Alligator mississippiensis: one gene and its partners. The protein of the gene in region 2 interacts with the protein of the main gene of each other region in a biochemical or structural test. Links are inferred from orthologs where the notes say so. Each region holds a gene or a part of one and is shown on either strand. Other genes may lie near its edges. The genes, in order: ADRB1, MAGI3 and ADRB2.

Region 1 (10,217 bases), on a different chromosome or scaffold from region 2:
CTGGAATTGCAGGGTGTAACTAAAGGCAGAATTAGATCCTGGCTTTTAAAAGTGCATGTCGTTAGAAGACTGATGGAACATGTTTCATTTGGCAACTGCCCTGGCTTCACCTTGGCATTTAGGAAGCCTATTTCACTTCTATTGGAGCAGAAATAATTAACTGTAGTTCAAACCCTAACCCCAGTGCAACCAATGGCAAAACAACCAGTGACTTCAAAGGACCTTTCAATTTGGTTATGTGTAAAAAATGTCTCTATGTTTTTATCCCTAAAATGTAATGTTAAAAACAGAATTAAAAAATCTTCAGCTTTTAAAAATGGAGTAAACTGTTTATTTAAGAGAGAGCTTGGCCTATTTCTTGCAGAACTGACTTTCAGAACTCTTCTCACTGGGACATGATTTCTAACTCAACTATATTGTTGAGTATAATAAAGCTAAAAATGGCTTCACTTTTATTCTGTGCATGACATCAAGGAGGTGTTTTACGATACCCAGCCGTCTGGCTTTTTGGTGCTTTATATGCCATGACAAGTTGCAGTCATGAAAAATTCTCTGAATCTATCATAATAAAACATACCTTCATGACAATAATGGGAGACAGTATTGTCACGGAGTTCTACATTCAGGATTTGCATTAAGGATTAGAGTCTGCCACCCATGCCCTCTCGGCACTTCATCATGGTTTGTTTGGAGTCCACGGGGGTACCTGTGTCAGCAGGGCACTGCACAGTGTGTGAGGGTAACAGGATCCAGCCCTAAAGGAATCTATAGCTAGGGAAAATATTGCTGCCGAGTGCCATATTGCTTTTCTCGCTATATAATTAGTTCTTTAATCTATAGATATGTGACTGGGGTTTTGTGCGGAACTGATACGCAGTGTGAAAAACACTTTACAGGGCCTGATCTTGCACCCATTAAAGTCAATGACAACTGCCTTTGGCTTTAATTGATATCAAGAAATGAAGGGATCAAATATGTAGTGCTATTTTCTGAAGACACTTTTTTCAGTAATGTAGAATGAAAGCCTGGCATATTTTTTCAAGGGATCACAAACTTCTTATTACATCTCCCGATACAGGGCATAATCTCCCTTTTACTGAAATCAGCGTAGATTCCCAATGATTTCGGTGGGAAAGAGCTGGCTTCGCTGAATATGGACTTCAAGCTCTGTCTGCATCCAGTGAAGTTATTTTAAGAGTATCATTGATTTCACCATGAGAGAGCCACTGCATAATCTATTAGCAACAGTTTTCAGTTTTCAAATCCAATACAAAACCATTTTATTCTATTTTTCAATAATAAATCCCCTGACTCCTGGTCTACTAATACAACAAAAAGATCAGGAGAGCCAACAGGCTAAAGAAAATGACTATGTTTATTATCAGGCTGGAAACACCTTGTCTTTGGCCATTAATTTTTGAGGGAAGTCGGCAGCCCTTAACGCAACAGAAAACACAACCTTATTTGGTCTAGAACACTTTTTTTTAAACAATATTTTGTCAGGGAAAGCCATTAGGTGGGAGAGTATTGGTAATTTGATCCATATTTTGAGAAAAACAAAACTCTGTTCTTTCCATTATAGCTGGGTACTGTTTCAGAACCTATAGAGACACGCTGTACATATATGCTTGTTTGTGCTGCAATGTTATTTATTGCACATAGACCAATTACTTACACAGTAGTAAATTGCACCAGAGTATAAATACCTTATAAAACACACACAGGAGGAAAATGGAAATGACACGCAAGTGCTAAAATAACAGCAGATTCACGTGGGCACTTGGACATAAAATATTAAAATAATAATAAAAGACCCTTAAGATATTTTAATTTATAATACGGATGCATTTACAGTACCTTGATAAAATAATATAAAAAGTCACTCTCTCAATAGAAATGTAACATATTAGACAAGAGCAGAAAGAATTTTTTTCAGGTTTGATGATATTTGAACCCCCGTTTTATTTTTAATTTTTTTTTGTGCAAGGAACATCTTCAATTAATTTTACGATTCTTAACACTGTGCAAAAATGGCTCTGTTGCCATTTTTTTTATGTGCAGTAAATTTTTTTTGTTGCCAGGATTTATTTATTTTTTTACTGTTCATCTTCAATTACAATGAACAAATTGCAGAAGGCTCACTGCCTCTTTTTAGAAAATAATAATATCAATACATAAATAAGCTGTTTAATATAAACATGTCTTTTTATTCCCCTGTACAATATGCACAGTTTGAGGTAGAAAGTTTCCCAGCCTGATTGGTATTGTCTGGCAAGAGAAGATAAGCATAAGAAGTCAACCGGTTGCTGATGCAGAAGATAAAAATCAGAAAAGCTCTGTTCAAAATACAAGTATATCAATATTCTTCATTAGTTAATTTTTTTCCCTTCATCTTTACTTTAAAAAACAGGGGAACGCAGCTACCTGAAGTTTAAAATAAAACTTGCCAGATGACAGACACACTTTTATAAAGGACTGTTAAGCCTGATTTGCAAAAAGTGCTGATCACCTGCAGTTCCCACTAACTTCAACAGGGCTGTGTGCAGGCAGCACTTGTTAAAATCAGACTGCTTTTTTACCTGTGTGTGAAACAAGAACTGCAGCCACCAAGAGTAGGGGCAGGGAGAGTTTATAGTCCTCAGCTTGAAAGCAAGGTTAAATACAGCGTGATCCTGGCTACAGTGAAGTCAGTGGCTAAACTCCCAATACTTCAGGATCGGGCTCTACTGCAAGTGCAGCTCTTAGAGCAGCTTAACTGAGTAAAGGATATTTTCTTATTCCCTTTCAAAATGCCTGTTGCCACCTAACTCCCTGTTAGAAAATTTAAAAAAAATGAGCTTGAGACAGCTTTCAATTTCCTTTGTTCAGTGGTCAGCGGCTTCCTCTAACATCAGATGAGGTATGTTGCATACAAGTTCACCTGCTTTTAGTCTTAAGTAAACACAGATTTTCTCCCCAGTGAGACAGAGATTGGTTTTGTTTGGTGTTTGTTTGCTTAACCAGACTCCTGATATTTTTTTCCTCTCACTTATTCCCTGGCTGGCTTTCTTCGTGCTCAGTGTCCAGGGTGTCCCCCAGTGCCACCTCCCACCGTCCTTATACCTTGGATTCCGAATAGGAGGTTTTGCTATTCCTCTCCTCCAGGCTGGAGTCGCTGCCTCCCTGCGTACCCCCATTGCAGTCGGACCACATCCCTCCTAGGCTGCGCTCGGGGGTGCCCAAAGTATTGATGAAACTCCCTGGGAACCGGGAGAGCTCCTCACCGCTGGCGTGCAGCCTCCTGTCGGCTTTCCTGGGGCAGCAAAGCAGCCTCTTGAAAGCCTTGCGGAAGTCAGGGCTGCGACAGTAGATGATGGGGTTGAAAGCAGAGTTGGCATATCCCAGCCAGTTGAAGAAGACAAAGAGCTGGTCTGGCACCAGGTCCCTGTTGAAGACGTTGACCACGTTGACCAGGAAGAAAGGAAGCCAGCACAGAGTGAAGATTCCCATGATGATACCCAAGGTCTTGAGGGCTTTCTGCTCCCTCATGGCCATGATCCGGGAGCTCTTCCTCTTGCTGGCCCTGCCGTTGCCCAGAATGGGCTGGTGGTGAGCGTGGCCCTGGGCAGGAGGCTGGTGGTGGTGGTTGTTGTGGAACCTACCCTCGCATCGGTCGATCTTCTTGATCTGCTCCTTGGCCTCTCTGTACACCCTGATGTAGACAAAGATCATGATGAGCAGAGGGATGTAGAAGGAGATGATGGAGGAGGCGATGGCGTAGGCCCTGTTGGTGACGAAGTCGCAGCAGCCGGGGTCCTGGTAGCAATCCAGAGCCTGGGGATCCTCATCCCGCCACCAGTGCATCATGATGGGCAGGAAGGAGACCAGAGCGGAGATGCCCCAGACGGTGCAGATGATGCCCTTGGCCCGACCCTTGGTCATGAGGCTCTGGTAGCGGAAGGGCCAGGTGATGGCCAGGTAGCGGTCGATGGCGATGACGCACAGGGTCTCGATGCTGGCCGTCACGCACAGCACGTCCAGCGAGGTCCAGCACTCGCACAGGAAGGAGCCCCAGACCCAGCGGCCCTGCACCACCTGCGTGGCCCCGAAGGGCACCACCAGCAAGCCCATCACCAGGTCGGCGCAGGCCAGCGAGGTGATGAACAGGTTGGTCAGCGTCTGCAGCCGCTGCGTGCGCCGGATGGCCGCGATCACCAGCACGTTGCCCGCCACGATCAGCAGCACCACCAGCACCATCAGCAGGCCCATGCCCGCCGTCCACTGCTGCGACAGCAGCTCGTGCCGGCCGCCGGGCGAGGACGGCGGCGGGGAGACGCTGCCGGGGGGCGCGGGCGGCGGCGAGCCGGACCTGTTGTGCGGCTGGCAGTCCGGGGGCAGCCAGCCATCGCCCATGCTGTCCGCTCAGGGCAGCCGCGCCGGGGGCATGAAGACCAGCCGGGGCGCCCGCCCTGCAGCAGCCGCAGCCGGAGCCGGAGCCGGAGCCGGAGCGGAGCGGCCGCCGCGGCCGGGCTGCAGCATGGTTGTGCGCTCCCGCGGCTCCCGCGCCGCGACACCCCCGCGCCGCGCGTCACTGCTCGGCGGCCAATGGGCGCGCGGCGCGGACACACCCCCGCGGCGCCCGCACGTGGGCGGCCCCCTGCCACCGCACCCGTCGTGGGGGGGGGGGATTGCGCGGGGCGCGGGGCGCGGGCGGTGTCTTGTCTGAGACCCGCCAGATTTGTGCAAATAAAATAAAATAAACTAAAATAAAAAAGTTCTTAATTGCAATGCTTCCGGCCACAAACGCCCTTCTTGGGGGTGAGGGAGCGGAGGGCCGGCGTCCTGGGGGCTCCCCGCTCGCTTGCCGAGGGCCCAGGGCAGCTGCTGGCATCACTGCCCCGAAACGCTGCGCCGGGTTCGCGCTCTTCTCCTCTGTAGGTCTTAGGCTGTGCGGACGTGAGCAGGTAAAGCCCGTTTTAGCGTTTAATTTCCGAGCCCGGAAAGCCCATTCTGGTGTTTAATGCCTGCTGGAAGAGCGCACACTTCCTCAGCCGGACAAAGGGTTTTTAAACCCGAAAGCTTGCTAAGAAATTGTTGTTCCAACTACTGAGTTGGTCTAATGGAAGGTAACTGGTTTTACCCGAAGAGCCTTGTCTGCCTGCTGGGTACCTTGAGGATGGAGACGCCTGTGACGTGGCCAGCCTTATTGGGCCAGAAAGTAACATTCTGTGCTAAAAACAGAGCGCCTTTCGTCTTCCTCGAAGAGTTGCATTTGTTTCCTTGCCGAGACGCAAGGAGGAGAAGGGAGGGAGAAGTTCTCCCGCCGGAGACAGATGTATCAAGGGGGCTTCAGGCCTGCCCCAGCCCTGCTGCTCGGCAGGGAGAAGTGACCAAGAGGCAGCAGGCGCCGCCGCTCTCACCGCAGCCCGCGGGGATGGGGCAGGGGATCTCGCTGCATGTGCTGGATTTAAAACCTTAGCACTGGAAGCCAGCAACAGTTGCCATGGCCTGTAGGCAATATTGACAACTGTGCAAGTGTACGCTGCCCGGTGGGGGATGGATCCGTGCTTCCCAAGCCCTGCGTATCTCCCCATCACAAGTCCTGTTTGTTCTGGCTTCCCCGGGGGTTCCAGATTCAGCCACTGTGTCATTCCTAAGGCTGGGAGTCAGAGGACTTGGCTTCTGTTGCTGGCTTTGCTTGGGACAAATCTTTCTGTGCCTGTTATCCCAGCCGTAATGTGCAGCTCAGAACTTTTACCCGCCCCGGCCAAACCCCATCGATAGCTACAGACGTTTGAGGTGCAACGTTATCATTTGTTAATAACCATAAAAAGTTTCCGTGTGCAGTAAATGTGTTGCTCCGGTGACAGCATAGCTGCATAAGAGACTGTACAAGGATTGCAGCCCTTTGCACAGCTACATCCACTGAAACGGCTTAAAACACATGGGCTTGACTCTTATTTACATGTGCAGCCCTTCACGCTGCTCTGTTATCAGGTGTGGCCTTAGATGGATGTAAGGCTTATTTACTCTTACTTTAAATTGCCTTTGTACTGGCAAAGAGAAATGAAAATGAGTTCTCTCCCCTTTACTTTTTAGTATCACAGGATTACATCCATGCCTGGGGCTTACATCAATACCCCATCTCATACTAGCTGGGAGCAATAAGAGGGAATCCTTTTTTCCCACATATATTTATTCTGCAAAGGCTGTGTCATTGTTCCGGTTTGACCTTACCATTCCCTGCCAGGTTCAGACTCGGTATACAAGGTTGCAACCCCGGAGTGAATTATGTGTTTATTTACATACTGTTTGTTTAACCCTGATTACAGGCTCCATCAGTTTGGACCTGCTGCTTAAACTATTCCCTAGTGAACTTTGCTTCATTACTTGATCTTTTCCAGTCTGAGCCAGTGGGATAGAACGATCGAGGCAAACAGAAGATGCGAGACACCCACTGTATGACCATCCCACAGCACACAAATGTCTGAAGTCATGCAGGAGCTTTCTCATCAGCGCCCACACTCTCGATGCCACACTCAGTAAGACACAACTACAGATGTGGAACGAGAGGCTGAAGAAAATAGCTGACAATGAAAAAATGTACACTCCAGCAGCTAAGTCCTTACCATCGGGGGCTGATGAACAGTGGCAAAGGTGGCGATGTCTCAACTGCCTACGTACCAGAGTCGCATGTTCCCAGGAACTAATGAAGAAGTGAGGCTATAACATTGGTTCGACCACCTGTAACTGTCACAGAGCTTCAGACTAGGCAATGCCTGCTGTAATGCCCACTGCTTGAAGGCACATGTGCAATGAAAGAGCTTGCAAAGTACAATAAACAAGCACAAGCATGTGTAAAAAAATGGTTAAATGTGATGTAGAGACATGAGAAGAAGAAGTCTGAGCCTAGAGAGCTCAGCCCTCCAATGCATGAAGTGACTCTCTTGGACAGGGAGAGGTGGATGCTCCTCACCTTGAAGAACTATGTGAACACTGCTAGGTGTGGATTGTGGCTGAACCAACTAAGGAAAGGGTCTGACGATATTTGTCAGGAGGTTGTCAGTCAATCCTCAGCTGTGATCCCCGCAGGAACAGGAATCCATCCTTTCTGTCAGTCCTGAGTCTCTACCAGAAGGAACCAACACAGAGCTAGATAAGAGTGGACTTCTACAGTGAACTACTATAAATGTGACTTGCAAAAGATTTTGTTATTAGACAATTTATCCTACAGCTAAGCCTTGGTTGCCCGCACAAGCCAGGACAGAGAGGTATTCAACATATCAGGTATATCATTTTAGGGGCTTCCTGAAGTCCTGCTGGCTGGATCTTCTCAAAAAATGGAGACATCTGAAGATCGTGGATAGTTTAGAAAATCCAACCTTTAGTGACTTGCCCAAGATCACACAGGCAGTTGTGAGGGGTACAAATCATGCCTTTGGACACTTTTCCTGCATTTCCATCCATCTGTCATCCCCAGGGTATTTTTACTGAATTAAGGTCTTTACCTAATAAAATTAACATGGGATTGTAACCCCTTGATTGTCTCTCTGTCTTTGAAGAAGCTTTGAAGTTTAAGGGCCAGAGAAGTTAAGTGAATTGCCCAAGGCTACATAATTAATCAGAAGGCCTAGAATAATTTTCCTGTCACAACAGGCGTAATTCTGCAACGTCATGTCAGAGCTGGAACCAGCCTGACTTTGGGGTTGTCTAAAAAGGAAGAACCAAAGGTTAGCTGAAGAATTTATCTGCTGAGCATCCCTGTGTGCATGCAGCTGATAACTGTAGGGTTAACTCATCTTCCAAACGACACCTCTGCAGATCACCTTTAACTCTAAGTTTCCTGATTTTTGTGCATTTGAATGTGGTTTTGCTAGCACCTCTTTGTGTGCAAATTATTTAAGGATGTCAGGTCAAGAGGAGTGAGTTCCAAAGTCTGAAATGGATTGTTTCTGCCTGTGCTCCAGGTCACATTTTTTATTGAAGCAGTAATCTATTTTTTCCTGGAAGTCATTGTTTTTTTTTAACAAGAAGCTTCAATACTAATTAGAATAGATTGGTTATCCAACACACCCACAGAGGATAACAGATGGACCCAGAAGGAATTCCAAATCGTACTGCACTGGAGAGGCTGAGTTGAAACAAACTTCAGAGCTGGAATGTGTCAGGGACTGCAAGGGCTTCTGTGTAGGGTTTTAGACCCAGATCCTTTGCGCTGCTCTATACAGAGTCCCACAGACTTCAAGGGGGCTTTGAGCAGGCACATGACTACCACACAGACAGCGGCTTGCAGCATCAGGGCTTTGTTGTGTACAGGTGTGTATCATAATGCTGACTGCTCAACAAGTAAAACAAATAGGAAGGCAGAACTGAGGGAGAAGAAGGGGCTGAAGTACGGGTGTGGTATTTGCATCGGCACAGAGAGAAGCAATGCTAAGGGAGTGCAAAAAGATGCTGAATATTAGATTCAAGTTCGCACTGCGTGAGTTTGCATGATACACACCATGGAGGTGGGCAGGAGCAGATCCTCTTTATTGGCTTGATCCTGAACCTATTAAAACCAGTAAAAGTTTTAGCTCAGTGATGGCAGGATTAGTCCTGACAATCTGTGGCTTTTAGTGGATTTACCTAAGAAAAGGCTTGGAGTGACTAGGTTGTGGGACTTTGAGTGACTTGCTGGGTGTTGTTGTCAGATTTCCCAGTGTATTAAGTAATGTGTTTCCAACCCAGCTGGCTGCAGGAGCTCTCTCTGGCTGCCCGTTGGTGCCGGGTTTCCAGCTCTCCCTCAGACCTCAGCACATTAATTGATTCGTTCTTTCCCCTGCTAAACAGCCTGTGAGGATGGTCTGGTAGGTCTAGCTTCTAAAGTTAATACCCTCAGCTAGTACCTATGTCAGTATGCACAGCTACCTAAGTGTCTTTTCAGTGGGAAGAGAGACAGATTGCCTTTTCATCTAGCCAGACCTCTGTTGTCCCTTCTCTGTTCCTGAATTTGTAGCCCTGCTTATCCAAACCAGTTCTCCAGATCATGCAGGATCCAGAACTGTCGGAGCCAATGGCTCTCCCAGAGTCCCATAACAGCCCTTAAGAATAACAGTGTCCTCCTTTCAAGGAGGGCTGAAATTCCCACCTGCCAGTCTTTCTCTAGCCATGAACAAAATTTCAGTACTTGTGGGTACAGCTGGTCAGAACATTTTGACATAATGAACTTTTGTCTAAACACATGGTTTTGTGGAAGCCGAACAAAGATTTTGCTGGGGAAGTTTTTTTTAGGGCTGTCCTGACATTTCTGAATGGCGGCAGAGAAAGAAAAAGAGAGTGAGAGACAAAGAGAAAAAAAAAGGAGAGAGAAAGAGACAGACAGACGGACCAAACTTAAAAAGATAGCTCAGGTTTTTATAGAAAAAAAAAGATTCTTCAGCAAAATTACTTTTGTGGACATATTCTAAAGGTTTAATTGTGAATCCTTTAAAGTTGTCACAGAATGAAATTATTATCTGCTGGACAGCTCTACCCCCAAGGAAATCACAAGACTTGGTAATGATGGACCTGATTCAAGTCTTCTCAGTGGCTGTGTCTACACAAGATGCTGGATGTACAGTTGCAGTATATAAACAAGTACTAAACGACTGTGTAGTAACCAGAGTTACTGTGCAGTCACACCAAGGAATGACTTTTTTGTGATGATGACTGTGCATCATGCTTCCTGCCACATGATGCTACTGCACAGTTAGTGTCTCGTGTAGACGCAGCCAGTTACACCAGGTTTCCAACAGTGTATCTCTATTGGTTTGTATAGATTTGCTCCTGGCTTCTCTGCTGCAAGTGAGCACAAAATCACGAGAAATATGTTTAGGTCTGTGCACTTCCCTATTGAAAAGATAATGATATATTAGATGAGGTTCAGAGAAGATCAATATCAACTATTAAAGGGAACTTGGGATTAATATATGAGAAGAGACAAGGAGACTATTTTAACTAAGCAATGACCTTGTAATTCCCTAATGTATAAATATGTGAAGCATAAAAAAAAAATACCAAGGAGTGGGTGGGAAAGGAATTATTTAGAATAGACGAATTATACCAAGAGACCTAATGAGAGATAATGTGATGAAAAGGAAAGTTCAGTATGATTATCAGAAACAGTTTCCTGAAGGTCAAATCTATTAGATTGCCAAGAAAGCAGTAGAATTCTCTTTGCTCAGACCAGGGGTCAGCAACCCCCGGCACGTGTGCTG
Region 2 (10,595 bases):
AGCTAGCTACAAGCATCGCAGATGCTGATTTCATTGCTATCAAATAAAGATGCTGTTTTCCTTAATGAAGAGTCATGTTTCATCACTGGTGCAAAGCAAGTCCAGCCCACTGATCTGCTGCTAAAGGCCACTGAAACACCCACGTGAGACCGCAACTGCACTACAGTATTGACTAAGACGGAGGCAACTATTCAACACAGAGGCTGTACAGACACTAAACAATTAAGAAACATGCTGACAGGTGACTCAATGTCAGGAGGCCAAGGTCAGGACACGCTCAGCACATACAACTGAACTTTGGAACACCCTTCCCCTCCTGCTCCGACAGCACCTGAGTGCAAGTACATGGCAAGGCCTACAACAGACGCTCTCCAGTTCCGTGTACTTTGATTTGTAAAGGCCCATTTTGCATTTTAAGGAAAATGGAGTATTAAGTAACTTTCCCCTATTGCTCTGTTGTGTTATTTAAATCAATTTTGTGCCTGTTTTTCCTTTATTTGACCACAAACAAAATGCCTTCCAAAGGACAAGATGCCGTGATGGATCATTAAAATCACAGTCCATATAAAAACAAAATGCAGCAGCAGCGAAGCAGAGCCAACCTCACCAAAACCAAAGCAGCCTTCCTCATCCCAGCGCCACTGCAAGATCGCTGCACGTCCCGCGGCCCAGGACTCAAGCATCCCCGCACAGTAGTGCAAACCAACGCATTGTGCGGTGTTCTGAAGCTCAGCAAACGTGGACCTTTCACTTCACCAGGGATGGAAAGGAAGGCGATTTCCAAGTCACAAGGCACTCAAAGAGAATGAATGCCTTGGCAACTTGGAGGCAGCTCTTGCTGAAGCACTGGCACTGAATGCAACTATGGCAATATTTCGCAGGGGGAGGGGAATGCTTTAAACTGCTGCCTTATAAAAAGCAAACCAACACCAAGTTGCCAAAATTCTCTTTAATCCACAGCACATTTAACTTTGCAACATGTTTTAGGATAAAAAAACTTAGTTCCAAGTTTGATTTGCTCCAAAACTGTAAAGCAGAGATACAGCTAACCTCCGAACGAAGAAAACACATCTGACCCAGGGCAGCGTTTACATGTGGTGGCTGTGTAAGCAGCGTGCTTAGCATCCATGACTAACTGCTGCAGTCCCACAGATGGAAGATGTCAGTATTGCTATGACCGTCTACTGCCACACTACAGCTCTGGATTCACCGAAAAATAATCGAAGAGAAAATTCGCGATTATTAATACTTGTTTAAACTTTGTCAAGTTCACACCCGCGCTGTGCAGAACTGGAGAAGCTGTAATTAGCTTCAGATTGAAAATTGTGAATCATTAGTCTGTGTGATTGCAGGTAACACTATTTAGCATGAACTTGACATTTGAGATGCATGCTGGTAAAGAGGACTTTACTGGAATGATTTGATAGTGCTGGCTAATTATAGTACACTTGAATTAATCCCATTCTCTGAACAGAAGCTGAGTTTTCTTTGGGAAATAAAGGAATTGCTTTGAAACAGTGATGAGGAATTCCAAGAACGTTGCATCATTTACATCAGTCCTGACCACGGACAAAGCCAGGATATCATCTGACCACTGTGATTTCACCCGCTTCAAATAAGCAGCGAACATCACTACGGAGATAACTTTCAGAAATTGTATTTCAGAACTCTGTGACACTGAGCTATCAAATAGAGCGCGATTAACTTCCACAGAAATCAGAGTCCCTAACCATTTTCATGTCTCACACACCAGAAAAACAAAAACCCACTTGATGGGAAAAGTGAGCAGGAAAGAGAGAGAGAGAGATTCATCGGCAAGTTCCTTTAAATCTACCTTTACTGCAAGCGATTCTCTTTGACAGTTTCACCCCGATTTGTACAGCCATATGTTATGTACCTTTACACCTGTATGCACATATTATAGCCCGGGAATAATCACTACCCCGCCATCACAATGCCCCAAAGGTTAAGCTCTGGTATTAAAACTGCTGTGTAGTCCTGCTCACTATAGATGCAAGGTAAAGTGCTTAGTTTATCTGACAATAGCCTAATTAAAAAACTGAAAAAAATCCCATTTGCCATGTAAATCTCAGATAAAAAGGAAAAGTAGCATATCCCTTCTTAAATTCAGAATCCATATTTATCAAAGTGGTTCAAAATTAATCAGCACAGTGCAGAATCTCCTGCTTGCCCTGGGGACATCTGCCATTTCATTCCTAGTCAGTCCCAATGTTTTACACACAGCCAGCACACACGCTTCATTTCTTATCTTTTTGAGCTTCTTTGAGAGACCTGTTTGTAGCGTTACTGGATTTTAAGATTATATAGATGTTAATCCACTAAGAGATGCGACTGGGGCCAAAACCCAGAGAGCCTTGCCTTTAGAAATACCCACCTCTGCCTTCAGTCAAGGGACTACAATCCTTTCCGATGCCTCTTGCGGCTGCAGGAAACATTCGCTTGGAAGTGCCAAGCCACCTTACACACATCACATGCACACCCCGCATTTCAGCGGTTGCAACTAGAAATTATTCACCGTGACACACGGATGTTTAGATGAGCTACAATGCTCGCATCAGGACGCAGCACAACACCAAACGATCTGAAGACAGAGCGGACAGGAAATATCCTAAGCAGAACAAAAGAACGAAATCTTAATGCCGAAGCTATAAAACAACCGTGGGAGGGCAACCCTTCGCTGCAAGACCAAAGCTTTCCATCAGACTCGTTTCTGTAGCAGGCGACCACAGGGCAAGCATTTTTAACAGGTCTGTCAGGACTAACGCTCTGCAAAGGGCAAGTCCTACTTCATCCAAAAATGGCAGGATGCCTGGAAAAAAAACCAAAACATGCTGGTTCTCTCTGTGCTGCTTTTACCCTCACCATCTTTCCTCCACCGAGTTTAGAAGGAAAGAACCTATTCGGAATAAATACTCTTATCTCTATTGCCACAAGCCTCCCCCCGGCCTCAACTCCTGCCACACATTTTACAAGGCCCGTGCGGACAATCTGTGGGTCCACATAAAGCTGACAGCCACCCTGGAGGGGCCCATCTCCGCTCCCCGCCCGCCCAGCGCCACCGCCTCGCACGGCACAAGTTTCCCGCGCGCGCCTCGCGTGCCAGGCGCCGGCCACCGGCCCCCGCAGCGCTCTGGAGAGGGGGCGCAGCAGAGCCGCGGGAGCGGGACGTCAAAGCCAAGTTACTCGTGCCAACTTCGCAGCGTGGGGAGCTGCAGGTCGGACGCAGCGGCGGAAGCCGAGTTTCGCAGGAGGGCCCCCCGCCAGGACGGGTTTGCTCGGCCACAAGCTCCCGTGCCAACCAGAGCGAGTGACCCCCCAGGCGGAGGCAAGGGCTGTCCCCAGCCCCGCGCCTGGGAGAGCAAACTTGGCCCTCCAAGTGCCAGCAGCAATGCGGGCGCCGCTCGCTGCGACAGCCTCAGTTTCCCCATAGTCTCGAGGACGCAGGCAGGGCCGCTCCAGCCGCTGGCCGGTGGTGAGGGCGGCGGCGGCGGGGCGCGGGGGGGCTCACCTGGGCGCACGGTCTTGAGGCGCACGGGCTCCCTGAAGTGGCGGATGACGGCCAGCGTGTCGCGGTGCGTGAGGCCGCTCACCGGGGTGCCGTTCACCTCCAGCAGCACGTCCCCGGGGCTGGGCGGCTTGCCGGAGAGCAGCGCGGGGCCGGGGCCGGGGCCGGGGCCGGGCTCGGCCAGGCGGGCGCCCAGGTAGGGGAACTCTCCGCGCTCGGCGCCGCCGCGCAGCAGCTCGGGGCCGGGGCCGGAGCCGGAGCCGGGGTCGGGCGGCGGCGCCCAGGACACCACGCACTCCTGCACCTTGCTCAGCCAGTGCCGCCGCCGGCGCAGCGTCTTGGACATGCCGCCGCATGGGGCTCCCGAGCCGGCCCGGCCCGGCCCAGCCCGACGCGACGCGACGCGACCCGACCCCACACACCAACCGCCCAGCAACCGACTGCCCGGCCCCGCCCCGCCCCGCCCCCGGCACGCCCCGCCCCCTGACGTCACGCCTCCCCCCGCCCCGCCCCGCCCCGCCGCGCCGCGCCGCGCACGTGTGTCTGCCCGCCCGCTTGTGGGACACGGCGCAGCGCAGCGCGGGGGGAGATTGATCAATCTATCAATCAATCAATCAAGGGGCAGGTGGGTTTAACACGAACCACGGGCTGGGGTCGCTCTTCCCCGGGGCACGGGGCACGGCCTCTGCCTCCCGACGTCCCGGGCCCCAATCGCTGGAGACCGCACGGGAGAGCAGAGCGCGCAACAACCCTGCTCAGAGCCAGCCCGTCCTCGCCGCCGTGCGGCCCGGCCCGGCCCGCCCGCCCGCCCGCTGCAAAGCAGGAGCTGCAGCCTGCTGCCCTTGACCTCGTGCGGGGCCACGCGGCAGTGGCACCCTTTCCCTCCGCGTGGGGAAATGCCACCTGAACGGGTGCTGACAGGTACGCGCGGCCCGCCGGGAGGCTGGGGCGGCCCTCGGGCTCCCGCCCTCCAGTCTCGAGGCTGGGGGGAGTCAGGACAACTCCCGAACACCTACTGATGTTGGCAAGGCTCACGCCGAACCCTAGATGTCAACTTGAAAAATAATCCCTAGAGAGCCTTCTGCTTCAGCGCGCCCGACCGGTCCGATACAGGCCCTCGCGCGCGGTCCCCCAGAAACTGCATTTCTTGCTGCGAAGCCGAGGGCCGTCCCTGCCTCAACCCTGCGAGGCGGGCCGGCTTGCTCTGGGAAGGGGAAGGCGACCGCCTTGCCTCGAGGCTGGCCACAGGACCGTGCCCGTTCAGCCCGCAGCTCAAGGAATCCAGCACAATCGTTTCTGAAGCTCTTCTGTACACAAGGCAATCAAAGCGGAAGCGGGGAGGGTGCGAGGTGTGACCTTACATAGCTGAGATACGTACGCGTGTTCCTTCGCACACAAGGAAACGGCCCACCTCTGGCCCTTGCTCTACGTCACAATCATTTATTTGTTTCCTGATACTCTTGGCCATCTCCACAATAACAGAGACTAGAAATACCAGCTTTGCACGCTGAACTTTCCCCCATAATTAACATCTGTGCAGAACCGTAAAAGGCAGCTAATTTTCTCGTTCAGAAATCACCGCAAACTTTCACCTCTAACAAACGGATACGACGCTTTGCTGTGGGTTTCCTGTGGCTTCTGCACGTCTTTATCTCCACCGGCCCGTATCTCCTATAGGTCATATGGTAATTACTGCCAAAAATAGGGACTTTAACAAAAAAATTAGTGGCATTTGAATCTCGGGACAAAGGGATTTTGGAAGGGCAGCCGGCAGAAGGGAGGATATCATTTAAAAGTTACACGAGTGGCTAGGGAGACATTAACTGGCCTCCAGCTGATCATATTGGTGAAAATATGATTGTGGCTCCGTTCGTGTTAATGGAGCTCTGCCAGGGATGGATCGGACTCATTACATGCGGTGCCATTTGAAGTGTACTTGGCTACCTGCCAACAGACGTGAAAATAACTCAAAATGATCTAAATTTTCTTTTACGCTTGCAGAATGCGAGTGAGAAGGCTGGAGGCTTTGTGGTGTTAGGCATCCTGGACAGTAAAAGGGACATTGTCGAATCCATTTGAATCCAAAATTTAGCATTTCACGTAGACTTGCCACACCAGACTAAATCAATAGTCCAGCCATCCCAGTAGCCTCTCTCTGGCCTTGGCTTGTGCCAAATGCTTCAAAGGAAGGCACAGCAAACCGTAACGCACAGACATTATGGGCAGTTCATTAGAGGAAATTTCTTTCCAAGTCGAGGGTGGTAGTTGGTCTATACCCTTGAAACAAAAAAGTGTTTATAGCCCTCGTAAAAATCTCTCTTATCCTATTAAATGTAACTGGATCTTCTCATTGGCCAAAATTTTAAAAACTGAGGTCATACTCTTAAGTCTACACGGTGGCACCTTAATGGATGCAGCGTGACATTCAAAAGTGCTGGGCGGCTGCAGCTAGCGTGCTAGCCTGCCTCAGTATAGCTCTGGTCGCCCAGAAGGATGCATGTCCAGTCCTCTAGGGAACCTAGAAGGTCTTCACACCTTTTGCCAATGCCTTGCACAGGTTAATTATATATTGAATTTTACAATGGTTCAATAAAACAGTTCAATTTTTATCAAATCCTTCAGTTGCATCATTTTTTTCTTCTCGGGGAAAGGAAATAGGAGAGTTTAATTTACTTTCTCTAATCAGCACCATTCACTAATTTACGTATCTCTCCGTTTTGTCCCTGCCTCCCACACCTCACTGTGGAAGGCTTTGATCCGAGTCTCTGGTTTTAGCCCCCAACCCCTGGTGCCATTCTGTTTCTGTTGTCAGAGGAGTGGCCAGCCCTGAACACTGCCTTCCAGACACGGGTGTTGCGTTGCAGGGTGAGGTCCAGCATGGGCTGCCCCAGGGCAGGACCCTGCCATCCACCCCGCCCGCTCCCCTCACACAAACCCTGGCATTTCGTTGACCTCCCACCCAGCCCTGGGGGAAGAGGGGTAGAGTCTGGTTCATGTTGCTATTGCACAAAGTAAGCGTATGGGTCCCTGGGCCCTCCTAGTCTGAAACCCTTCATCCCCTGCTCAGTGAAGGACACGGTTTGTCCCTCTTCCCTCCCAAGGTGCCATTCTCTCCACAGCCTCCTGCAAGGGAGTCTGGCTTCTCTCTGGAGCACGTGCTCCCGGCCAGGCTCGTTTGCAGGGCGGCCTCTCCCTGTAACCCTGCAGTCCATCTTCCAGGCAGGGCAGCCAGGAGGGGGGCTGCCATCACCTGGCCACTGGTCTCACAGCTGGCACAAGCAGAACTGGACCCTTTGCTCTCCAGGCTTCCCCCCTCTCTGCCAGGCAGAGCGCAGCAGATCCACCCAACAGCAGCAGCAATGTTTTTCGTAGTTTTTCCTTGTACATCCTAATGCTTTGTTTACCTTTTTGATCACTGCTGCATATTGCGGAGAGGCTTTAATTGGGCCATCCACAGTGATACCTAGATCATTTTCCTCTAAATTAGAGTGGCTGTTAAATTATTCATTCCAGTGTGCGTTACCTTGCAGTTGTGAGCGCCCCGTCTCACATGAACCTCCCCATTTAGCAATGCTAGAGGGTTCCTTTTCCTTGGTGCCCTGCTTCCCTTTTGATTTAGGGGCATGTAAGCTACTGGTGACTGCAACCAACTTCAAATGGTAAAAAAACCCCATAAAAATCAAGCCTGGGAAAGTCCTGGAGTGGATTAAAATGATGAGCTAGAAAAGATTTGCATTATTTCCCCATCTTGATTTGCATTGATCTCGGTGCACATTTTCAAGCTTTTCTCCAAAACCAGGAGAGCCAGAAACTCACTTTGAAAAGCAAAATGTAAAAAAAAAAAACCACTTAAAGCTGACACACTGATACATTTACATGACCTCAGGGTTTTAAGAACAACACAAATTATGAGATCTGGCAACACCAACTCCATTCTCAGATGATTAAATAGCTTCCATGCTGAGTCTAATCCATGAAGATGTTAATAGTCTCACTTCTGACTTTCATTCTCTTTACTAGCTTCCTCATTTGTATAATTATAAAGACCATGTATAACTGACTAGCTGTATTCCTTGCTCTAAACTGAGATATATAAAACCAAACAGCCTAACATTTTCAAAAACAAGGGCATGACTTTGAGATCTAGTCACTGGATAAATTCTGGAAATATTAGTCTAGTCTAATCTGCGCCAGTTTCTGTAATCTACAAAGAGATTTTCCACATAAGCCCGTAACAGACACTTATACCTCAAAGGAGTCGGAAATAATTCAGTGATCTCAGATGATGAATTAAGCAAAAGATTTATTTTATTCACAAGTATCCATGAAGACAGCTGTCAACATTTCAGTTCCAAAAGCTTCTCCAAGATCAATGTCCTCAACAAACCTATCTTGTTAAAGTCCCCAAAGCTTAAGTTTCATGCATGCTGCCAAAGCTTTCCTGAGTTCATTTCCAGAGCGCTAATGAAAACTTTAAAGCCTGTTTAAGAGAACCAGCTGGAAATTTTAATTCTGATTTGTGCCATGCTGAAGCAAGAATTTTCACCATTCATGCCTTCTCTGCCTCTCATTTCAACTCACAAACATAGTAAGTATTTGAGCTCACCTACAGGTAACTGGGAATAACACATTTTCTGTAATTACTTACCTTAATCTATCGCTGCATGAAGAATTATGTATTTTCTGTGCGCTCACACGTGAAATCTCAGAGAGCTGAAGCTCCATCAAAGTTGAGAAATGTCTCCAGTCCAGCACGCCTTATAGTCTGCCTGCTGCCATCTTTCTTTAGCTATCCACATCCAGCACCCTACAAATCGCACAAAAATAAGATGTCAAGACTTTTACTGAGATCATAACTAAAGGAAGAAATGGGCTGAAGTCAGTGCAACTCTCTGGTAGGCAGGGAAACAAAGTTTGCTTTTGGTACAACTCAGGTAAATGCAGAAAATATGTCACAGAGTGAATATCTAGTACTCTGGTGAAGATGTTCTCTCAGAGAGAAAAGGAGAAGGGAGATCGGAGGTGATATGTTGGGACTGTTGCAACAATATTTTCCTAACGCAGAACACAACCAGAGAGACCCCCGGTAGGTTTCCGAGAAGAATTAGCGCGGCAGCTCCTGTCACTGAGTGAGGATACAGAAGGTCAGTTTTGTTCCCACAAAAGGCAACAGCAAGACTTCCATCAGCTTCAGCTGGAACAGAACACGATGGTAAGACAGGACCACGCAGTCTCCTTTGACCCAAATCTTGCCTCAAAAGGCCCAGTCTTGCAAGATGCTGCCACCTTCAGCTCCCAGGACGTTAGTTAAGGTTACCAAGCATCTTTCAAGTACGGGTCCACATTGAGTGGGGTTCCGCAAGAAATGTGTACCTTCACATACCCCACTCCGTCCCACAACCGGTGCCAAGGAGAGTGGCAGCAGTAACAGGGAGGAAGTCTGACTTCTGCAGAAGCTGTCCAGAGTGAGTCACATAGCAAGGCTCAGGAAAGGGATCTTTGCACCAATGCCCCTGGCCTCTGGAGAATCCCCCTGGTCTTTTATTTCCAAAGTTGACATGATCTATAGGGATTCATGGCAGTGTGTTTAGAAAATGGGTCCCCGGCAGCTTCTGCTGGGAGCCCAAATCTCACTCCCTGATGGAAAAAACCATGAAGAAACTGCAAGCTTCACCTCACTGAGCCTCTGTTCCCTTACTCTGAAATAATCCAGACAGCAAAGGGTGTAGCTTTACCTTCAGCTATGATGGACTAACAGGTTTCCAGGCTAGGAGAGAAAGGAGAACGGACCTCCAGAAAGGGAAACCATTGGAAAGCTCCAGACTGGCATGTTCCCGTGTCCTGCAATGCATTGACTCTGGACACTTGAGGGGACTCAAAGCCAAATAGAAGAAAAAAGAAAAAAAACACACACACCAACCAAAGGAAATGCATACTGAGCATGAGATGAGAGAAGGCTGCACCACACTGGGTAGCGCTGTGCGTATGGGGACTGGCTGAGCCACAATAGTCCACCAGGCTGAGCTAGGGGTGATGCTGAGGACACGCTCTATGGTGCTGCTTAACAAAAGTAATACTATAAAAGGTACCGGGACCACAGAGCCTAACCAAGGAAGTGGCAGAGGGGACGTGCTCTCGGTTCCCACCCACTGAGGAACTGCATCTCGCACATGAGGCTGCGCTGCGCTGCTCTGCGCTGCGCTGCGTGCCTCTAGGGCTGCCCCAGCAAGTCATTGCAGGAGGAGGGAGGCTGCGAGCTATTGCTACGACCACTCCTCTGCGAACGTATATTTTGGGGACTGTTGGTCGGAGCAGTGTGCGACCCCAGGTTCGTGCCATTGGAAGCCAAACTTCTAAACGCCACGTAAATTAGCTTACCTTCTAGCCTGTGCTGCCAGACCAGGGGATTTCATCAGTTCTGAGACAGCTTAGAAAATAAATAATAAAGATCCACGTCAACTTGGGCTGACTAAGCTTCAGTGCCTGGAATCGTCACGCAGGAATGGAAAATGCATCAAAGCCAGAAGACTGTATCAGCATCAGCCCATACCTTGTAGACACGAAAGCTACCAAGTCAGTCCGTGTGTTTCTAATAAGCACATCACCATAGTACACAGATGCCAAGCAGCAAAAGCAAGAAAAGCATCCTCCTGCCTCAAGGCACTGTGCTCTTCTCCCTCCACCATTATAAAAAATACAGTGCACTGTTGGGCACTGTGCAAATATTAACTCATAATCAAAACTTGTTGCTGGTGTTTGTACTTTTATTTATAAGCTACCCAAACCCTTGAGAGAGAGCAGAAAAAACGCTGGACTAGAATTCTTCTCCCGGTTCATCAACAGCTTGCTGTGGGACCCCGGCAAAGTCACCCCCCTCTCTGTGCCCAAGTCTTTCTACATGCACCCTTTGGAGTGTTTGTGACGTACAGCGCAAGAGAGAGAGTTTAACCTTGCACATGTGAAGTGCTGCAAGAAATTCAGATGAAAGGAGCTGTAAAAGGCAAAGTGTTGCTATGGGAGACATTAAAAAGTGGATAATTGTTAGTGTAAATATTCAAAACTTCCTGCT
Region 3 (10,694 bases), on a different chromosome or scaffold from region 2:
AAGAAGTTTTTCCGTATATCGAGTCTGAATCGGCCTTCCAGAAGTTTGTGGCTGTTAGACCTAGTTATCCCTTGGGAGCCCTGGTGAACAACTGTTCTCCCAGATTCTGATGCACCTCCTTTATATACTTATAGACAGCCACCAAGTCCCCCTTGAGCCTTCTCTTTACCAGGCTGAAGAGTCCCATGTCCCTCAGCCTCTTCTTGTAAGGCTTGCTCTCTTGGCCTTTGATCATATGGGTGGCTCTCCTCTGAACTCTCTCAAGCTTATCCACATCCCTCCTGAACTCGGGGGCCCAAAACTGGATGCAGTACTTCAGCTGTGGCCTCACTAAAGCCAAGTAAAGTGAGAGGATGACATCCCTGGTTTTGCTCAAGATGCATTGGTAGATGTATGCCAGTTTGGTTTGCTCTGCTGGCCATGACATTGCATTGGGGGTCATGCTTATCTTGTGGTCAATCAAGACCCCCAAGTCCCTTTTGGTCATGGTGCTAGTGAGCGTACCATCACCAAGCCTATAAATATGATGCTATTTTTTTCTCCCAGGGTGGAGTACCCTGCATTTCTCTACATTGAATGCCATCAGGTTTTGGTCTGCCTACTTTGCAGGTGTGTCCAGGTCAGCCTGGATCCCCAGCCTGTTCTCTAGCATGACCGCCTTCCCCAATAGTGTCATCCACAAACTTTGCCAGTCCACATCTGATGCCCAAATCCAGGTTGTTAATGAAGATATTGAAGAGTACTAAGAGCACTGAGCTCTGGGGGATTCCACTGGTGACCTTGTGCCACACATTGATTTATTCCCATCAACTAGTACTCTTTGGGTCCTACCCCAGAGCCAGTTCCCCAGCCATTGGACCATGAGATGGTCGAGGCCAAAGTTCCCCAGCTTGGTCGTGAGAACATCATGGGAGACCGAGCCAAAGGCCTTCTTGAAGTCCAGATAAATGACATCAACCTCATCTCCCTTGTCTAGGCAATGCGTCACCTGGTCATAGAAGGAGATGAGGTTGATCAGGCAAGACCTTCCAGTATTAAACCATGTTGGCTGGCATTCAGTAGGTTGCCTTCCATTAGCCTGGTGCAGATGGATCCCTTGTACTTTTCCCTTTGTCCCTGAATTTGCTATAGAAATGTTGAATTCGAAACTTTGGTGAAAGGTAAAGCAGGAGAGATGTTGCTCTGATTTATGCTCCTGGCACTGTTGGCATAAATAAGGTCATTTGCACTGGCCCAGAATCTAGTGTAGGAAACTCAAATCTCTGCTGGGAGTCTCTGCCTGGTTTCAGCGGTCCTCCCTAATGGACAAGAAAATCCAGCCTTTTATTTCTTAACATTGTAATTAACTCTTTCAAAGATTGGGCTGGGGATAACCAACAACATCTGTGTTTTCATATTAGCAAAGCTGATTATGAGCAAGTTAATAGCTTGGATGAGCTCTGGATAATTTGTAAAATGGACTATCTTTGTACAAGAACTCAAAGGGCTGTCATTATAAAGATGTAAATCCCACAAATCAAATAGAGCACTAATAACTTACTGTTGTACCTCATTCCCATCAGGGACATAGCTCTGTGTGTTAGCAGGTCCCTGGGCTTCGGGAAAATCTTCCTTTTTCCCCACTTCTCCATCTTACTTTATTAACCATACGAGTGGTTCATAGTGAATACAAATGAGCAAAGACAGATTACATCAAGGTTTTAGATGAGCTGGTCATTTTCTCCACCCTGACTAATAGACAGCCCTGAAGTACACTGTGGAGGTTCATGGTGGGTCAGTATCTGGAAGGTGTGTGAGTTTTTGTGCATGCATGACACATAGCCAGAGCTGATGTTGCATTGTTCAACTGGCAAACTCAGCACGGGCAAGCCCTGCTCCTCCCATTCCCCCACCCCAGTTGGTGTTTTCCAGGTCTCCAGTCTCTTTTCAAGATGTAATACTTCTTGCAAGTGATACCATATATATCTAGATTTTAATATAGGGGGTGCTTCAGGATGTGAAGTCATCTGCTTTCTGAACTCTCAGAGTTCTGTCTAAACACCACAATCAGCAGCGACACAGTGAAAATTAAAGGAATTCCCTTCTTCAGTCACAAAAAATATATATCTTAATTCCATTTTTGATCAGCTCTCAAGAAAGAATGAACAGGTAAACGAGGTGCCATAACTTGTCCCTTCTTACTGTGCTTTCTGCTTTCCTTCCCCATGTTGCCTGCAGGTCCTTATCTCTTCTCAAACATTGCCTAGTCAACAATCCCTCTTTCCCAATCATTTCCTTTGGTGTTTCCACTTCAAGGTGTGTGGCTTTTGGGCATGGGAGGGGTGGATATATGTGCAAAGGAGAGATGGAATGTGCAAGCCATTAAAGTGTCTCAAAGCAAGTAAATGGAGCTGTGTTAAGCAATTATGGGCCAGATCCTTCACTGACCTAGATTAGCACAACTCAGTTTAAGTCAGTGTACCTATGCCGATTTACCCTTGCTAGGAACAGCTGTAACTATAGATACAGGTTTATTAGAGCACAAACGCTTTACCCAACCTCCAGTTAATTGAAACTCATGGTTTATCAAAGGTCATTTCTGTTCCCTAGTGCAACCTGCAGCCTGCTTTGCTTAGTCAATCCTCATTCTTTCTGAAGGCTTTTGGTATTTGCAGGGAAAACAAGGGCTGTGTATATCATCTATTTTATGTTTTTAAATTTGTTTATTTTCATAAAGTTAAGGATTGTGAAGGCTGGGCAGACAGTGGTATTCAGGAACAGGGCAAGAAATGTATGCAGAAATGAGGCTTCTCCTGCTTCAGGGGAAATAAACTGGCCCAACATGGAAAATACCTAGTGATTGACATTGCTTTTAACCTTATTTCCTGTTTCAAAAGTTCAGTGAAGTTCAGCTGAACAAAACCTGTACCTGATGCTGCAAATACTTGCAGTCCTTCATACATCCCCCACCCTTTCTTAAGCCACAAAACTTCCTTCAACATACACAGTTGTGCTCTATAAATAAAATCTTCGGGCCTATTACATACACCAGGAGTAGCACTGACATGAAATGGGACACCTAGTGGATTCAAAGCAGCAAGTTCTGAGATGCTTGCTCTGATCACTACCCCTCAGAGAAAGTGAGAAGAACAAGCAGAGCAGAGTAACTGTTGGCAAGTTTACTTTGCTAATGGGAACATCTGGGATATTTACTGCTTTTGCATTTAATTTCCTATTAGGAATAGAAAAACGAGGCACACTCTTGAAAACCACTGAATCTTTACTGTCCTGAGAACTTTAGAGTGTGATTTAACATTAATAATCCTTCAGAAATCTGAAGAACAATCAGAAGCCCTCTGCCTCCGGGCCATTTTAGTCATAACAATACTTGCATTTCCCTGTTACCTTTCATCTAAAAAGCTGAACAAACCCTGTACCTGATGCTGCAAATACTTGCAGTCCTTCATATGCTAGTTCTGTGGATGACATCATGGGGATTGTTTGTGAGGAAGGGACTGCTTTTGTGCCTAAGAGCATGAATATACCAACAGCATCACCACCACGCAGCCATGGATAATGGATACACAGCATGGCTGTGGACAGAAATGAAATTTTGGGCTGTGACACCATTGTGAGTCCTTTCTGTGCCCTGGGATCTTTAATGACCATGCAAATCACAGCCCTGAGACTTGGAAGACAAGCCCAAAAGACCTCACGCCTTGCAGGAAATTTAATTTAGTTGTGAAAAATGCAGGGCTGAGACAGTATGGTTTTATTCTAAAAAAACCCAGCAAAAATGAAACATAAAGCAGCAGCATTCTTTTCAGTCAGGTTACAAGAAGCTTGGCACCATCTTTATTCCCTAGTTAGCCGATTCTTTGCTTCTGGGGAAAATACTTTTAAAAGTTAAATGAACAGATTAACTATGTCTGGCTTCAGCATGGTGAAGCAGAGTGCACTGGAGTTATATGATCACAAATATTCCTAATAGCATTGGTGTCCTGAATACTCAGGAAATCACTGAGTACATTGTGTCAGGGCCATATTTTACTGTGGCTAGGTCGCTGCTGTAATTGTGAACAGCTGTGTGTGGACAACAATGCTTTCAAGCTGATTAGAGAAAAGGCAACTGACCCTATGTACACACTCCGAGTTATGTAAATTAAAAGTTTAACTTCTCATTTAAGGTCTTTTGAAAATCTAATGTACAGGCAGATAAGGCAGGTACAACCTGTATTACAAATTCTGGTCTGAGGAAAAAGACCTAAAAATAGATGCTATTAGGTAGCAAAAGTCCATAAAAATGCCTTCTTCTCCTTGACTTAAAAAAAAACCTAGAACTCTTGGTTCCAAAATGATATCTTTTATGAGACCAACTGGAAAATGGCAAGAAAATTGTCTTTTTTCTTGCTATTTTCCAGTTGGTCTAATAAAAGGTATCATTTTGGAACCAAGAGTTCTAGTTTTTTGTATGTCTTTTTGTCTCAGACCAACACAGCTACCAAGTACACCCTTCTTCTCCTTGATGCTTTTCAAGAGTCAAAAGATCCCCTTTATGCTCACCAGAAATCCAGAAATTGTACATCACAGCACAAGCTAAGGAAGGATAAGGTCCTTCTAGTACCATTAGTGGCCTCAGGATGAGCTGAGTTGCCCTACAGTAAATTTAAAAGGCTACATGGTTCCCAAAGTATCTGAAGACTCTGTCAGAGCACTCGCCCTTACCCAAACAAAGTGGCTGAGATACTGGCCTCACCTTTCTTGATTCCTCCATACACTTCTGCCAGCGTTCAGTCTAAGCCACCTGCTTGTTTGGCAAATCTGCTGGGGGGGGGCACTGCAGATCCCATCTTGGTCTTACCAGGCCCTGGGAGCTGCAGCCTCCTTGTACACTGGATCCTTGCACATGCTTCTAAAGCAGGAATTGCACAATACTGAAGGGACCCATGTGAGCTCTCCCTCACTTTGAGAGGGGTCACACTGAAATCAGCAGGACTCTCGGAGAAGTGTCCTGATTTCTGGGGGGAGCGGGGGGACGGGTAGGACAGGTTCTGCACCTGTCTTCTTGTGGGGCTTCTGATTATTTGCCCAGTCCCTAAGCTAGGCATTTCATTTAGCCTCCACTTTCCTCCTGAGGAAGGAAGTTTACACTCACTTTCTGATCCGACTCCAGGGATCATGTGCTAAATTCAGACCTGCAGTTAAAAGGGAGGGTGTGGCCGGCTAAAGGCTGCAACTAGAGGAACTAGATCTACCCGCGCCACTCGGTTGGCCCGAGGAGGGAGCTGCGCCGCGCTTCGCTGCACCTGGCGACTGGGTCGAGCCGTCAGACACGGTCCGAGGGCGAGGGAGGGAAGGAGCAGCTGCCGCCTCCCCCCGGCTGAGGGGTCCCGGGCAGATCGAGAGCCCCGGGCTGAGTCGAGCGCTCGCCTCCGCCCGAGCCCGCAGCGGGGAAGTGATCGCGCCCATCCCGCTCCACGCAGCAGCGCCGGATCTGAGACCCGGCCGGCAGCAGCGATCCGCCCCGCTCCGCCCAACCCAGGCCAGCCGGGGGCAGCTGCCGCGCCGTACCGGGAGCTCTGCTCGGAGCGGGTCCCCGCGCGGGACAGCGGGCGCCGCGCTGCGGTCCCCGCTCAGAACGCTCGAGTCGGCTTGCGTGTCCCGCCGGCCTCCCATTGGCTGCGCCCTTTGTGATGTCACGCCCGGCTGTTCTATAAGCTGCCTGGCACATAACGGACTCGGGACACTTGGCTGCTGCCCGGACGGGGCGGGCGGGCGGGCGGCAGGGCTGGGGTTGGGGCTGGGGCTGGAGCTGGCCTGCCCTGGCCGGAGCCCGGCGGCAGCGAGGAGCCATGGCGTCGGCGCGGAACGCCAGCGGGCTGGACAGCGCGAACAGCACCACGCTGTCGGGGGACGTGTGGATGGTGGGCATGGGCGTGCTCATGTCGCTCATCGTGCTGGCCATCGTCTTCGGCAACGTGCTGGTGATCACGGCCATCGCGCGCTTCCAGCGCCTGCAGACGGTCACCAACTGCTTCATCACGTCGCTGGCTTGCGCCGACCTGGTGATGGGGCTGGCCGTGGTGCCCTTCGGCGCCAGCCACATCATGCTGCAGATGTGGCAGTTCGGCAACTTCTGGTGCGAGTTCTGGACGTCGCTGGACGTGCTGTGCGTGACGGCCAGCATCGAGACCTTGTGCGTCATCGCCGTGGACCGCTACTTCGCCATCACCTCGCCCTTCAAGTACCAGAGCCTGCTGACCAAGGGCAAGGCCCGCGTAGTCATCCTCGTGGTGTGGCTGGTGTCAGCGCTCACCTCCTTCCTGCCCATCCACATGCACTGGTATCAGGCGGAAAGCCGGGAGGCCCTGGACTGCTACGAGAAGGCCACGTGCTGCTACTTCTTCACCAACCAGGCCTACGCCATCGCCTCCTCCATCATCTCCTTCTACCTGCCCTTGGTGGTCATGGTCTTCGTCTACGCCCGGGTCTTCCAGGTGGCCAAGCAGCAGCTGAAGAAGATCGACAGGTTCCACGTCCAGGGCTGCCAGCAGCCCGAGCACAGCGGCCGGCCGGGCCGGCGCGCCTCCAAGTTCTGCCTCAAGGAGCACAAAGCCCTGAAGACCCTGGGCATCATCATGGGCACCTTCACGCTGTGCTGGCTGCCCTTCTTCATCGTCAACATCGTGCACGTCATCCAGGACAACATCATCCCCAATTACCTGTACACCCTCCTCAACTGGCTGGGCTATGTCAATTCCGCTTTCAACCCGCTCATCTACTGCCGCAGCCCGGACTTCAGGTTCGCCTTCCAGGAGCTGCTGTGCCTGCGCCGCTCCGCCCTCAAGCTCTACGCCAATGGATACTCCAACAGCAACGGCAGGAGCGACTTCCACGAGGAGGACAACGGCTACCACTCGGGGCCGGATAAGCCTTGCGAGCTGCTGTGCGAGGGAGGTGCCGTCGCGGCCACAGGAGGCTTGTTGCACTGTCAAGGTACTGTGCCCAATGGTCGCCCCGAGCCCCCGGGGGTCAACCCTAGCACCCAGGTGTCCGTGTTGTAGGGCTCGGCCTTCCTTAGGGGCGAAAAGGCACCCGGCGACGTGGCGGCCAGAGGACGGCCGGGAGGTGCCTGCCCGGGGTGTGCGGATGCACAAACGCTGTAGCAAGGACCTATTTATAGGCGCGCCGGGGGGTTATTTTAAGCCTGTTGTAGCAGGCTCATCCCAGGAGGAACGGGTGACTTTTGTGGTGTCCTTGTCACTGTGTTGATCTACCTCAGAGCTCTGGTTAGAACCATCATCTTCATCTTCATCTTCACCGTGGCCTGAACCGCGGAGCTGCCTCCTCTCTGGGGCTGGGCATCGGGTCGGAGGCCTGCCCGTCCCTTCCCCTCCCCCTCCCCCTCCCCAGCGCTGCGGATGCTCTTAGCCGCGGACTAAATACAAAGTTGCGCTGACAACTTTTTTTAAGCGACGCTTTTCTGGTTCACTTCCTCCCCACGCCCGCGCCCGGTCTCACGAAGGGCAGATCAGCTGGGGGAGACTGAGGGGAGGGCTGGAGAAGTGCTCCACGCCTCCCTCGTGGGCTCCGGCAGCCCGGGGGCGGTGCGCGGGGCAGGGGCAGCGCGGAGAAGGCGTCTTTCCGGCCGCCCATCGCCTGTCCGAGGGCGCGGGGGTCCGAAGGCTTCCGACAGCCACGTCCGTGGCCCCCCCCGGCTGCACTAAACACTTGGCGGGGTGTTTTGTTTTTCTCTTCCCCTTGCTCTCCCTGTTGCCCCGGGCTCGGGCAGCCCGGGGGGCTGGGCTGGGCCATGCGGCGGGGGCTGGCAGGACATGATGTACAGACGTGCTGGGCGACAGTGCATCGCGATCAGCACTGCCAGGGCGGCCCTCGGGTCTTCCCTCTGCCCTCCTGCCAGCTCTTGAAGTGCTGCATCTCGGCTCCCGGCCCGGCGGGGGGACGCGCGAGGTCCGGGCTCGGCGGGGCTGCGCGGGGCTGTCAGAGGGAAGCTGATGCTCAGACGCACGCGGACAGGTGCGGGGGGGGGGCGGGGGGAGAGCAGCGACACGGGCCCTTCTCAGATCGGCAGTGGCAGGAAGCGATCAACGACCCCTCGTGCTCTGAAGGGCTGCAAAGAGCGGGGAGTGCAGGGTGCTGCCCAGCTTCGGGGGGAGCAGGCAGGGCAGCGACCCTCGGCCCTCGCTGTGCAGGGTGTCAGCCTGCCCCCTGGCTCCTGGGCCGTGCGGGCTGGGCCGTTCCCGTGTTGCTGCTCTGCTGTTTCACTAGTGCCCCCAGCCTGGGCCAGGGAACTTCCCCCGCTGTCAGCTTGGCTTGAGTAGGCAGCCCCTGCTCACTGCCGGCATCCTGCTGAGGGCAGGGGGCTCTGAGTCTGTTGCCCAGACCCGAGGGGCTCCTAGGAATCCTACCATGGGGGGGAAATCTCAAGCAGGAATGAACAAAATACCAGGGATGCGGCTGGCAGTCTGCTCAATGCTGCTGCCAAGGGGCTGGAAGGACAAAGCTCTCTGCACGGGAGCATCCAGTGCTGCGATTCTCAGGGGTATTGCCAGTGGATTGAAGAGGGACCACTTGCTGCAAAGTCAGACAAGCAGCTGCTGCAGAGCATGGGTTATCTTCTCCCTTTGTTCTTATTGCACTGCCTTACTTCTGGGACACAGGGTAGTTTCTCAGTAGCTTCCTGGGCACTCAGCAGCTGCTAGGGCTAAGATCATCCTAGGCTTTACCATTTCCAGTGAGGACAGCTACAGAGACTGTCACTGGAAGAGCTGGCCTGCAGCAAGCTGTGTGCACCTCCATCAGAAATCTGCAGGTGACTCCTATTCAGACTAGGGCTGTGGTTTGATCTGACAGCTGCAAGCCAGATGCAATGGATGGATATCCCAGGTAGTGTCCATGTGGCCCACACATTAATTGGCTGGGACCATAATGGGGGAAACCTCCCCTGGCCACACTGATTCAATCTTTGGTGAATTTCCCTTGTGTACATTGCTCTGCCAAAACATGCCCTCCTTTTTCACCTCTCTCCAAGCATCTTGTTCAACAGCTGGGAAGAACAAGTAGCTCTGTTGCCTTTTTTTCAATTGTCTGCTTAATCTTGTCAACTTTGTGCATGGTCAATTTGGGAATTAAATTGTGCAGTGAGCAAAGCAGTTACTGAGGTAATAGAAAAGCCCTATTGGAGAACAAAATGCCTGGGGAACCTTTTTTGGCAACTTTTCCTGCACTTGGAGAGTGAGGAAAAGGGAAGAGCAGTTGTAACCAAGGGAAAGACTTGCAGGATCTTTGGTGCTGCAGGAGATTGGAGACGTGGGCATAAGATACTGACATCCTGTCTTCTGTAGGTTTGCCATTGTCTTTATGGGACAAGGATATAAGAGAGAAAGTAGGCACCATGTGACACAAGGGAGTATGAGTTTCTATGGACAGATCACTGCAGTCCCAGCACTTGGGCGGCTGCATTGCTCTGCACAATATGTCTGCAGTATGCCTACCATATGCATGCTGAAAGCAGTGTCACTGGCTCATATCTTTTTGGCCACTGAAAATATTGACTTTGGCTCCTCTAAAGCATGTGTGTGCATGGAAAGCTAAGGAGCTCTCGTGTGTATTAGTCAAGTCTCCTTTAAAAATGTAGCAAGTGGAATATAAAATGATGGCAACAAAATTCATACAAAAGATGCCTGGCATTTCTTTAAAATGCATGGCACATTCCAATATGGAGAAACATGAAAATAACCAGGCATCACCCATTTTTGCTCTTAGAGGCCAGTTTGCCATTGTCCTGCACTTTGGGTAGTTATCTGCACCTGTATAAAGGAGGGTCAGTACTACCATCCCAATCTAATAATGCTTTACACCCCCTTGCAATTACTCTACACTGATAAAAGCGATGGTACAAAGTGCATGGCAGTAGTGAATGAATTGCAGAATCAAATCTGAACTATATAGGCTCATGTAGACATAAAGGTTTGTCTTAGCTGTTGGCTTTCAGGGGAGGACATGTTGAAATTTCCATTTCCTCCTCTCTACAGCAATGTGGTCTGAGCACTTAGGAAGAGTGGTTGAGAAAAAGAAATAGATTGAGGTTCATCCTTCTGTTCTACTGCAAAAAGAATGAATGCATGACTACCTGTCCTGAATCAGGACTGTAGGACCAAGCCCAAAGTAGATGCAGAAAAAGGGAATATGTCCTGAGAAAGCATTTTCCTCATCCATTATCTGTTAATATCCTATGTGTGGTGAGTTTCAGGGTGTCCAGATTGGTCTATGATCATTGGCTGCCCCCTAGCACCAAGCAGAGAGCAGGGTTTGCTTTAAGGATTTTGCCTGGTGCATCTCCCTCTGCTGTCAATGTAAGGTCATAAGTAGATCCCATGTACAGTTTAATTCCTGTATTAAGTTTTTTAATTTTAAAGCAGCTCAAGCAAACATATAGAGTGGTGATGTTTTGGAGTATGCAACTGCTGCTGAAGAAGTCATTGGGTCTACAAAAACATTATCTCTGAAGATAAACATTAACAGGCTGTCCTAGCAAAATGAAACCTGACACAGCGCAAGACTTAGGAACGCAGAAAATCAGGCGCTGTTTGTTAATGAAGCTTGTTTTGTACAATACAAGGAATTGGATACAGGACACCAATGTACAGTACAGAATGTGCATGTAAACACACATACTCATCATATACATGCTG

Evidence for each region.
Region 1: the proteins of MAGI3 (region 2) and ADRB1 interact in a test that uses a peptide from one of them, tested with the Homo sapiens proteins (2 studies listed by IntAct, with this or other methods). The link is inferred for Alligator mississippiensis from reciprocal best matches to the Homo sapiens genes MAGI3 and ADRB1.
Region 3: the proteins of MAGI3 (region 2) and ADRB2 form a complex in vitro, tested with the Homo sapiens proteins (2 studies listed by IntAct, with this or other methods). The link is inferred for Alligator mississippiensis from reciprocal best matches to the Homo sapiens genes MAGI3 and ADRB2.

What each region holds. Positions count from the first base shown.
Region 1 is NC_081829.1:92,300,479-92,310,695, forward strand, and holds ADRB1 (beta-1 adrenergic receptor), read right to left. Parts: upstream 4,509-10,217; 5' UTR 4,393-4,508; coding exon 3,097-4,392; 3' UTR 1,358-3,096; downstream 1-1,357. UniProt on the Homo sapiens protein: Beta-adrenergic receptors mediate the catecholamine-induced activation of adenylate cyclase through the action of G proteins. This receptor binds epinephrine and norepinephrine with approximately equal affinity.
Region 2 is NC_081837.1:45,112,211-45,122,805, reverse strand, and holds the start of MAGI3 (membrane-associated guanylate kinase, WW and PDZ domain-containing protein 3), read right to left. Parts: upstream 3,970-10,595; 5' UTR 3,873-3,969; coding exon 3,530-3,872; intron 1-3,529.
Region 3 is NC_081832.1:60,954,165-60,964,858, reverse strand, and holds the start of ADRB2 (beta-2 adrenergic receptor), read left to right. Parts: upstream 1-5,799; 5' UTR 5,800-5,831; coding exon 5,832-6,975; intron 6,976-10,694. UniProt on the Homo sapiens protein: Beta-adrenergic receptors mediate the catecholamine-induced activation of adenylate cyclase through the action of G proteins. The beta-2-adrenergic receptor binds epinephrine with an approximately 30-fold greater affinity than it does norepinephrine.